2 linked regions of the Caenorhabditis elegans genome follow. The protein of the gene in region 1 purifies or fractionates together with the protein of each later gene. This does not show direct contact. Each region holds a gene or a part of one and is shown on either strand. Other genes may lie near its edges.

Region 1 (5,253 bases):
GAGTTTGTCTATTTTTTCCATTAGCCAAATTACACTTGCTCACCTATGCAATCGATTTTTCACCCGGTTCAAATGGTCGTCAGTAGAAGGACATGCTCGCACGCCTTGCGTGTTGGACTGACTCTGTGAAGAGTTGTTCCGCTCTGAAATTGATTCTCAAAATAGAATTTAGCAAGGTATTATCGATATGATATCATCTTACGTTTCTTAGATTCGAAGTTTGACGAACTTGCATAATCCTCCTCTGTTACCCGGCTGACTGTGTTTTTTCTAAGATTTCGGTTGTTTTGGTTCTGATTCTGATTATTTTGTTGTGAGCCCTGTTGCATTTGGCCATCAAATTGTCTTTGGTCATTCTCGGAATTTCCAGTGTAGAACGTGGGTCTGAAAGCAAGTGGGTATCAAGTTTTTAAACTTTATGGGATACTTACCGCTGGTTCATGCCATCATCCTCAACGTGATTGTATTTGTTCATGGGCGTAGTTTGCTAAATTAGAAACAATTTCGTTTTTTTTTTCATTTTAATATATTTTTCTACTCTGAACTTTGTACGACAGTACTGTAATTCTGACCAAATTTTCCGCTCTAGATGATTCTTCACATTTGTTCATTACTTTTACAGAAGTATCACCCTAATAATAAGCTGCTCAATCTTTTTTCAAAAGCTCGTTTTTGATATCCCTGATCCCTTCACCTCTAATGACGGCTGCCTATTGAACATTCCTCCTTGCCCGTTAGTATTCTCTCTCATTCTGTTGTTATCCGTCCGTTGTTCATTCATTTCTGAAATTATCCAGACTATATCAATTTGCGTCTCGTTCGCAATTTTAGCGCACAACACTTTTTTGTTTTGTTTTTCACTTTCTCTTTTTATACCCCTGGAGGCTCTTACGTTGATGATGCTGCTCTTGTTGTCCATGTTGATTATGGTGTTGATGTGCCGCGCCTACGTTGTTTTGATACTGACTGGGCTGCTGTTGAGGCGTTTGTTTCATAGTTCGAGAGTCATTTGTCCTTTGTTGGTTTTGGGGGCCAGTCTGAATTATTTACATGTAGAATTTGAAATAATCGTGGAACTTTCCAACTTCAAGTACCTGGTTTCTCTGGTTTTGAGTCATATTCTGATTGTGGCTCTGTTGTTGATTTTGGTTTTGATTCATCTGATTTATCTGATTTGCCTGATTTTGACTCATTGGCTGTTGTTGCATAGCTCTTCGATTATTCTGTTGATGATTGTTGGCTCCTTGATGATTATTTTGAACATGATTTTGATTTTGATGCGGGTTCTGCATTTGATTCTGATTGTGGTTTTGATTTGGATGTTGATTTGAATTTTGGTTCTGATTCATGAAATTCTGCTGAGTTTGATTATGATTTGGCTGCATTCCCATTCCACGGGGTTGTTGGTTGTTTTGATAATTTGGAGTGTTCCTGAAAATATGAAAATTAGTCTGAATTGTGATTGATTGAAACTAACGCTTCAAAGGAACATGTAACAATCAAACACAAACTTGGAAAAGTAAAAGAAACCGGAAGAAACTCACATTTTATCAGGCGGCTCTGCTCGCCTCTGCTGCGGTTCTGGTACGTTGTCGTCAGTTAGTGGTTGGGGCGAAGGGCTTGGCTCGGAGCCGCTAATTTTCGGCTGCGGCTGCTCTTCGGGTTGGAACCATTTGCCTGTTTTGGCAAGAATTTGTTGACGTTTCTGGCACAACGAACAAGCCCAGATTGCCTGAAAGCTTTTTACTTCTTCTCTTCAATTCACTTCTCTACTTTTTTATCGGTCGGTGCACCCACGGGGCTAATACTTTCTATTTATCTCTTTATTCCAAACTACTTTGCAAACAATGGATGCTATTGTTTTTCAGCTTCTGTCGTATTTTTTTAGATGTAAAAACGATTATTTCGCTTGATTTCCAAATTAGATTCATTAACTATAAAATTAAACATGATTTTATAATAAATTGTAAAGTTTAGATTTTTTTTGTGAAAATATAAACATTGCAACATCATATCGCAAAAATGTTCAAGTCGATTTTGCTCAAATTGGTTTTTATTCTGTTATTCAAATGCAGTCATCCAGAATTTGTCCTTTCTCTTTCATGTTTCCCCTTATTTCATCCCACACTTTCACTCCCGCTCGTACCTTATTTTTGCTCTGTGCTCTACCTCCACATCTGGCGCAGCTACGCAATTGACAATAAAAGCACTTGTGGCCTGAAAAACCTCTCATCTTGTGCTAAATTGATGTCCTTTTAGAGAGACGATGACAGCCAAGGGTTAGGGGCTCTCTGACGCCGCGGAGAGAATTACTAGGAACAGAAAACGAGGCTCATCTCAGGGCGACAGAAGGACCCTTTGCTCTCATCGCTTCTTCAGGAAAAGGAACAACGTACCAATTCCGTCCGCAAATTTGGTCTTCTGACAGATTTGACAGATCGCGTCATCTTGTGTGCCAACCAGCTTTTTCGATGTTTCTTTCCGCTCCGTGATCTGTTTGTCTAACTCTGACAATTCTTCAGATGCTTTTCTGGAAAATCATTCGCATGAAGAAATACCAATGCAATTATGTGTCTACAAAACTCTTACTGTGATATTTGTGTTTCTTTTGCCTCCTCATCTTTTTGTCGTTTGAAGACCTGCAAAAAACATAAATCATGAGCGTTCTGAGTGAGTATTCTCTATATGTATGTGCACGCATGATATCATGCCAATTTTCTTGTCGAATGTACATAAGAGCACACACTCGTTTGATTGCATATCCATTATTTTGCGTGTGCTCACGGCGTTGTAAGTAATACCCCTCCCCTTTTCTCGCTCTTTCACCCCTCGGGGGGCCCGTCATGCTCCGAGACAGAGGACTCACACCGCACCAACTACTTTTTTGAACCCCACAAGAAGCAGACGGATGGGCAAAATGAACGATGGGGGGGGGGGGGGGGGGGGAGGGGGTTCGTGCTGGAACAACTCACATTTTCTATTATTTCACGTTCTTCTGCAGATAAATGGGATAAATCCGGCATCATCGACGGATCGTCCATGATTATATTTAATGAGGCACTGAAGTTTGATTTTTAAGGTAATAAGGAGTTATTGCATCATGTGAAATCATAGCGTATAAAAAGACTAAAGCGCGATAACAATCCGAATAGAAAGAATAGAAACGAATTTGTTCGGTTTAAGAGTTGTATGTCAATAAAGGCCAACAAGAAAACAGGATCAACGCTGAAACAAAAAAAGAACAGCGTCAAAGATGGGGAAACCGAGAGAGGAAAAATAAGAGCGTCCGGGATTAGAAACGTTGAAAAATGACGCCTTTTCCAAGACATGAGCGCCCAGTAAGACTGGATGTGGTCATTTTCGACGACGACGTCGATGAATACCGTGGGAAACTCGGGACATCCAAAAATAGTCTTCCTCTTCTTTTCTTTACTGCTATCAAGAACTTTTTGCAAAAAAGAGAAAGAGAGCACTAAAACGGGAAAGGAATAAGAAATAAGCGTAGGAGGTGGGGAAGTGGGAAGCGAAGGAAAACGGGAAAAGAAAAGGAATAGAAGGGTGATGGATATTGGGTTCGCCAGGTTTCGCCATAAAAAAAGGCCAACCATGGACAGGTAAAGGTTCAAGCTGATGTTTGAATTGACAAAAAATGGACAGCTTGTGCAAAGTGGACAAAAGCATGTAAGAATAAAAAGCAAAATTCGATGCAAGATTAATGATGCACAAAAGGAGACATTCATTTGAGACAATGAATTCATGCTCGTTTCCCTGAGCACGGAAAAAAGACAAGGTTTGAAGATAGGGGTGGGGGGAGCCTCCCGTATCCGTAAGGAAAGAGAAAGAGGGCGAAAGGAAAAACGGAGGTGAAACGGGAGGAAAAGAAAAAAGACAAGGCGCGCCCAGGAGGAAAACCCGGGCGAATGCGATATAAGCAATGAATAAAACAAGGCCACGGATAGCGAATAGTTCATGTTTTACTCAGAGCTCTTCTAATAAATAAATGGATGTGTGTAGATGGGAGGGAGGGGTTTAGGACTCGGGGGCTAGCGGCGTGTGGCGACTGATGCGCAAACGCAGGGTGGAGAAAACGACGAAGGGATGGAGCAACGCCCGCAAAACACAAAAATGCTCCAAAGGCTCTACCCTTCTTTTCTCCCCCAACCAGTCTTCTCTCCCTTTCCATCCCGAGATGGCTCTATGTGGCGTTTGTGCCAAACGTTGACAATTAGCAACTCAGCGGGCAGCTTATCCAATATGCTCAAGATTGCCAAGTTTTGTTCTTTCTTCGTTGGAGGGCCTCCACACATACACACACATACACACGCAGGCCTCAGCCTCAAATTGGATTATCTGTTCATGAATGCATAGCAAAGAGAAGTATAAAACGACAGAAAAAGAAGACGAAGGAGGTGAGGACAGGGGACAGACAAACAGGGAACAGGACGAGGGATCACCTTTCCAAAAAGTTCACGCCCCTTCAATGCCCTTTCAGATACGTTCAGAATTCCTACTAGGACTATGAAGTAACTAATTATTAAAACTCACAGCAAAAGCAAAACATTTTTGTTCAACAATCGAACAAACTTTTCAAAAAAAGAGAATATTAAACATTCGCAACACTTATATATCCATATCCATATATATATATATATATACTATTTTCCTATTCCATCGGCTGGATTTCTAAATGTGTTATATGAAAAGAGTTTTCACGATTTGAAGATTAGATTAACTATGAGAAGATATATAAAAGGCGGACAAAATCCGTTATGAATCAATTCATATAGCTGACAAGAAACAGAATTAACAAACTTCTAGATGGGTAAATGTGATGTTTCAAAGATAAAGATTACCTTTTGGAAGTGCATTAATACTTTTCAGATTTGTTATATATCAGAGACATTTGAGAGTTCTTGTTTATTAGCGGAACGCTATCGGAACGAATTTCAAAGTTATGAATGTGAAAACGTAGTACGGTTTTCTTGAGGACAAAACTGTTTCTGAACCTAAAAATAAGGCATTCAAATCACATTTCATCAAATTGGACAAAGTTTGAAAAATGAATGACAATTTAACATATTTTCAAATTGTTTTCAAACTCTATCTGTTATTTGAGTGATCATAATATAAGTATACCTATAAAAACCCACTACGAGATAAAACAATTGATTGTTTTTTACTTATGTATATGTTTTTGTGGTTATGGTAAACATAAAATGTTCCTGAAAACAATTGAAGTCACATCAAAATTAT
Region 2 (5,097 bases), on another chromosome or scaffold:
CGTCGCCATCTCATGACCGGACAGGTTCTTATCAGTAAAATCTCTTGGCTGATTACTCCTTCCCATCCGCTGCCTCATCAGTTCCTCCTCCAACTCCACGATCCTCGCCTGCTTTTCATCGATCCTCCGAAGCGCGTTTTCGATAGCTTGCCGGCCTGATGGATCCTGACTTGCCATCATAGATTGCGTCTCCTTGGTTGTTAGAAGATCCTGAAGCCTCATAATAGTATCCTCTAGCTCTCGAATCCGTCCGTCCATGCCACCGGAGCCGGATTCTAAAGCTGTGGTGAGTTGGCGAATGCGTTCGTCGCGTTCTCGGAGTTCCATTCGGAGTTGTAGCGCTGAAAGAATGAAGACTGTGTAAGAGATTCCTAGGCCAGGTGGCCCTAACCATAAGGAAACCTACAAAAACATGGGTACCCTAGAGCCTTACAGATTTAATCGGTAAGGGGTAAAGCACAGCCAAGGCTTACTTGACGGTAGCCTAAAAAGTCCATGACCCTGGTAGCAGAGGATTTTATGTTTTTAGGATCTTAAGGGCGTTGTTCTGCTTCTAAGGTGTTGGTTTCATTCGAACCAAGATCTTGACCTTTTCAGAAACATTGAACTCCTGGGACCCTTTTGTTTTAACTTGTCATCCGCTTGGGGTTAACAAGCGTTTAAATTAACTTAATTTAATTGCAGGCTTTGAAGCTTATTTTAAAAAAAACACCTAAATTACCTTCGCTAGAACCTAGGCCGTAGTCATTACCGCCACCTCCTCCCGACTGAACCATCCTCTCCAGCTGCGCTATCCGAGTGGCTTCATCACGCCGCATTTGCCTCTCCCTCTGGAACAATTTCACATAGCTAATCATACACTACGGTAGCTCTATTACCTTTAACTCGGGACTCCAAAACGTTTTGATACTATTCATAGTCTGATTTAGCTTCTCCATCATTGTGTCGTATTCGACTTTCAGCTGCTCGTACTCTCTCGCGATGTTCAGGCCACTTCCAGTGCCGGTGGGGATTCGGGATATGCCTGGTTGCATTAGGTCGTAGTCTTGGACTGATGTGGTGGCCATGCTGAAATATTGGAAAATTGAGGAAAAAAGTCTTCCGCGTGTAATATTACACAAGTTTCTACCGATGCTCTGGCCCTGGGTGTTGCCCTTCAAACGCTATAACTTTTTAGCTATTAAACATTTAAAAAAACATAAAAATTTGTTGTAAACTGGAAACATGCTCAAAATTAAAAACTGCACAGTTTCCATGTTGACTACATTTTTGTATCTATTCTTACCTAGGAGATAAGAGGGATTGAAGACCATCGTATCATCCCAGGTAGGCAAGGCAAGTGAAAAGGCAGAGGCTGTTTCGGATCTAACTTTATTGCCTTTAACGATACGAGTTTTTGTCAACTAACAAAATGCTCAAAATTAAAAACAGCATAATTTGTTAGTGGAAAATTTTTTTGTACCTCTAACCTCCTCGACGATATAACAGTTCAAAGTAAAATTACATAATATTATTTGAATCTCCAGAGCTCCCCCACCCCACTTAAAATTCATCTGTTTTGAGCCCCCAATTTTTTTTCGGAAGAGAACGTCAGCAGCAGTCAATGTGTGCAAAAAAATATATATATATACATGCATATTATACTCCCATGAGAGATGAGGAGCAGCAAAAACCCGCAAATTCTTTAAAAATTGGAGGAAATTCAACTGAAAGAACAAAAACTAAAAAATGTTGGTTTTCGGAGGGTCCACCAGCACCACCCCCCCCCCCCCCGCAAATTAAATTAGGTTAGGGTGGGGTCTTGGAGCCGTAGATTTGTGTCGTTTGTGGTGTGTTAACTGGAGGGGGAGGAAGAAACGGTATAGGAAGAAAGGTAAAAGCCCTAATGGATGATTTAGAAGACGGCAGGGTCCTGTCCGACAAGCACTATAGAAACTGGGATCTAGTTTAGGCGGCAACCAAGTCAGGAAATTGACAACGCCACTGGCTTCTGATGGGCAACCAATACAAATTAGACAACACTAAAGGCTCTTAGGATCCTGGCATCCCTAATGACAAGCACACTGACTACTTTTTGTCTACCAGGCAGCCTTACCGACAACCCGGCGACTTTAGAAGCTGTCGACCTCCCCGAATACCCGGCACCCCTAACTAACCTATTATTATGCTGCCAGAACGCATTCTGCGTGGGAATCGGATTCGATAACGCCAGCGATTGCCCACGCTGGAACTGTGTTGGGTGGTGATGTGGTGGATGGTGATGTTGACTTGTGGATATCTCCAATGGAAGGTATGATGGCTGATGTAGAGGTTTCGGTGGAGACGGCTGGAGCATCATATCGTAGTCTAGGGAGTCTTTGTAGGCGTCCAGGACACCAAGGCCGTCCATCGAGCGGTGTTGCCTGGAATTGGATGGTTCTTAGGTAGGCCTCGAGAGTAGTTGGTCTTCGAGGGGCAGGCTGTAGGCCCGTTGGGAGACAGAAAATTTGTGCTTGGTCTTAAATTTTCCTCAGTTTATCCCTAAAAAAGCTACTCACCGTTGCAGTGGGCGCCTCGACGCGGCGGATATGGATGTATGGGGTGGGACTGATGGATAATTCATCGGGTTTCGGCCACTGGAATTCATCACCGATGTTCGGCTGCTGTATGGTGCGGGACCTGAAACGAAAAATTGGAAAATTCTTTTTGGAGCGCACTTGTTGTAGAATTTTTCAAAAAGGTTGTGCCAAATTTAACGAAACGCTTCAACTCTTTTTGCATTAGAGCGCCCTTACATTTTGCGATTGGCGGGAAATTTGAAATGTTCTTTCCAAATTTTTATCAACACACTTTTTTTTTCAAGAGATTGCACATTTTTAGCAAAAACCTCCTCGGTTAAACATTGGAGCACACTGAAATTTGGAATTTTAACAAGCTTTGCAAAAATTGGCATAACTCTGCGAGTTTTGGAGATATGAGAAAGTTATCAACTAACAAACTGTGTGAAATTTTGTGATCTACAATTAGTTAGTCATAAATTTTTTAATAGAGTTTTCAGTTTTTGAGATATTCATGCTTTTCTGGCGAAAAAAAAATCAAAAAAAATTTTTTTTGAGCGAAATTTGTTTAATTTGCAAAAATTTGCAATCTTCTAAAAACTCACCAGGTGCCATATTGTACTGCTCCGGGTAGTTTGATGGTCCGGGTACGTGTTCGTTGTAGGACCACTCGGCGTCCAAGCCGTTACCGTACCACCCGCCGCCGCCTCGATCCAGTTTTTGACTGAAATTTTGAAGTTTTTGAGAATTGAGGAGAAGAGAAAAAAGTTAGGAGAAAAATTATATTAAAACAATATGAGGAAATATTGGTTAAATTTGGAAATTTTGAAAAAAAAACAACTTTCAATTTTTATTTTTCGAAATTTATTCTCAAAATATACTCAAATTTCCCGCTAAACTTTTCACTCCTAATTTCAGAATACAAATTTTCCACTATCAATAACCCAAAAACCAAAAAAAATCGTTCAAAAAGTCCGGCCGGAAGCAGCAAATGTCTTGTGTAAGTCAATGTATGCGCGGGGTGCGCGGAGAGGAGAGAAAGAGCCAAAAAGCAAGAGAGCCGAGAGATAAAGAGACGAAGAAGAGACCTAGATGGTTTGACAAACAGGGAGAAGGAATGAGAGAGTAAGAGGAGTTAGAGAAAGGAAGGGGAGGCGGATTGCGCGCGGATAAGCATGAAGAAAACAGAGGAGAGGGGAGGGGGACTGTAGTGGCGGAGTCTTGGTTAAATTTTTGAATAATAATTTCCCCAATTAACAGAATATGTTTATTCTTAATTTGTACGGAAAAATCCAGAAAAGTTTCGGTACCGCCTCAGAAAACTGAGTATAACTTCAAAACTAAAACGGCTAACAAAAACATTTTAACTAACAAACTGTTAAGCACAAAATTTCGCACATTTTGTCTGTTGGAACCTTTTTGGTAGCTATTACCATTCTAGAGATATAGGGGTTCAAAGTTGAGGAGTGCAAAGTGTGTGGAGGAGGGGGAGACGCAGGTTGTCTCGTCGACTGCGTCTCACCCTCCACCACGCTCTCACCGCACTATGCTCTAAAATGCGTGTATCTCTGGAACGGTTAAAGATAGTAAAGTGAGAAATTTGGTTTTCTATTCGAAAAACATTTTTTTCGATTTTTTTAAATTATTATTCAGCAATCTTACATATGTTTTCTTAAATTTTCCATACTAGAAAACTTTAAAAAAAAGGCAAAACTCTTGACTCTGACGCCAAGACACAAAAATTGTAGGGAATTGAGAGAAAAGTGTCGGGGAAAAGGGATAGAAAAGACGAAAACAGTACGCTCAGTGCGTTTTTTTTGTGTTTCTTTCAATGTTCAATGATGACAAATGGAACGGAAAATTGCAAACGTTACGATTTATTGGAGGACAGGGGTTTTTTTGAAAAAAGAAAAAAAAGTATATTGGGATTTTTCAACATTCTGATCTTTTTTCTCTGTTACTCTATTTTCTAAGCTCTAACCGTTCCAGATACATATATACAGCAGAGAGACGCAGACAACGAGACTGTCTTCTCTGCCTCCTCACCCACTCTCCACACTGTAAACGCCTATTAATAAAACAAAAGCAAAAAAAAGAGAAAAAATAAAACGACTTGCGCAAAGGTCTCTCCCCCCTTCAATTTCGGTGGTCCATAGTACTACGTTTTTGGCAAAAAGATAGAGAAAAAGGGGTGGTGAGAGTCCGAAAAGAGCTTTTCTCTGCGTCTCCATTGTCTTTCTCAAACTCTCTTTTAGGGAGTGCGTCGAGTAGTTGAGCTTTTGGCATTGAACCAGAAGAGATTGGAGAGACGCAGGAAAAGTAGGAAAATCTGGGGATTGAAGAGATTTAATATTTATTGCAGAAACATTTAAGGTGAAAAGTGTATTTTTACGTTGTTTTGCTGATTAGAACTTTTTGAAAAAAAAAGTTCCATCAACAATAATCCTTTAAAAAATTTTCTAACCCAAAAATTATTCTTCTCAAAATTTTACACATTTATCTATCAGTTGACAACTTTTTAATAGCTATCACCGTTCTCGAGATACGGGGCTTGAGATGG

Evidence for each region.
Region 2: the proteins of unc-10 (region 1) and elks-1 purify together in Caenorhabditis elegans (affinity purification with western blotting, with the first as the bait; one study listed by BioGRID). This does not show direct contact.

What each region holds. Positions count from the first base shown.
Region 1 is NC_003284.9:7,277,261-7,282,513, forward strand, and holds the start of unc-10 (Rab-3-interacting molecule unc-10), read right to left. Parts: upstream 3,063-5,253; 5' UTR 3,042-3,062; coding exon 2,973-3,041; intron 2,824-2,972; exon of another isoform or gene 2,685-2,823; intron 2,640-2,684; coding exon 2,590-2,639; intron 2,531-2,589; coding exon 2,397-2,530; intron 2,343-2,396; exon of another isoform or gene 2,258-2,342; intron 2,218-2,257; coding exon 2,147-2,217; intron 1,733-2,146; coding exon 1,545-1,732; intron 1,432-1,544; coding exon 1,095-1,431; intron 1,038-1,094; coding exon 893-1,037; intron 784-892; coding exon 695-783; intron 488-694; coding exon 432-487; intron 385-431; coding exon 203-384; intron 144-202; coding exon 44-143; intron 1-43. UniProt on the Caenorhabditis elegans protein: Regulates the efficiency of a post-docking step of the release pathway. Acts after vesicle docking likely via regulating priming. May regulate the conformational changes in syntaxin.
Region 2 is NC_003282.8:3,346,767-3,351,863, forward strand, and holds the start of elks-1 (ELKS/RAB6-interacting/CAST family member 2), read right to left. Parts: upstream 3,262-5,097; 5' UTR 3,153-3,261; coding exon 3,143-3,152; intron 2,659-3,142; coding exon 2,538-2,658; intron 2,403-2,537; coding exon 2,157-2,402; intron 1,069-2,156; coding exon 879-1,068; intron 831-878; coding exon 722-830; intron 342-721; coding exon 1-341.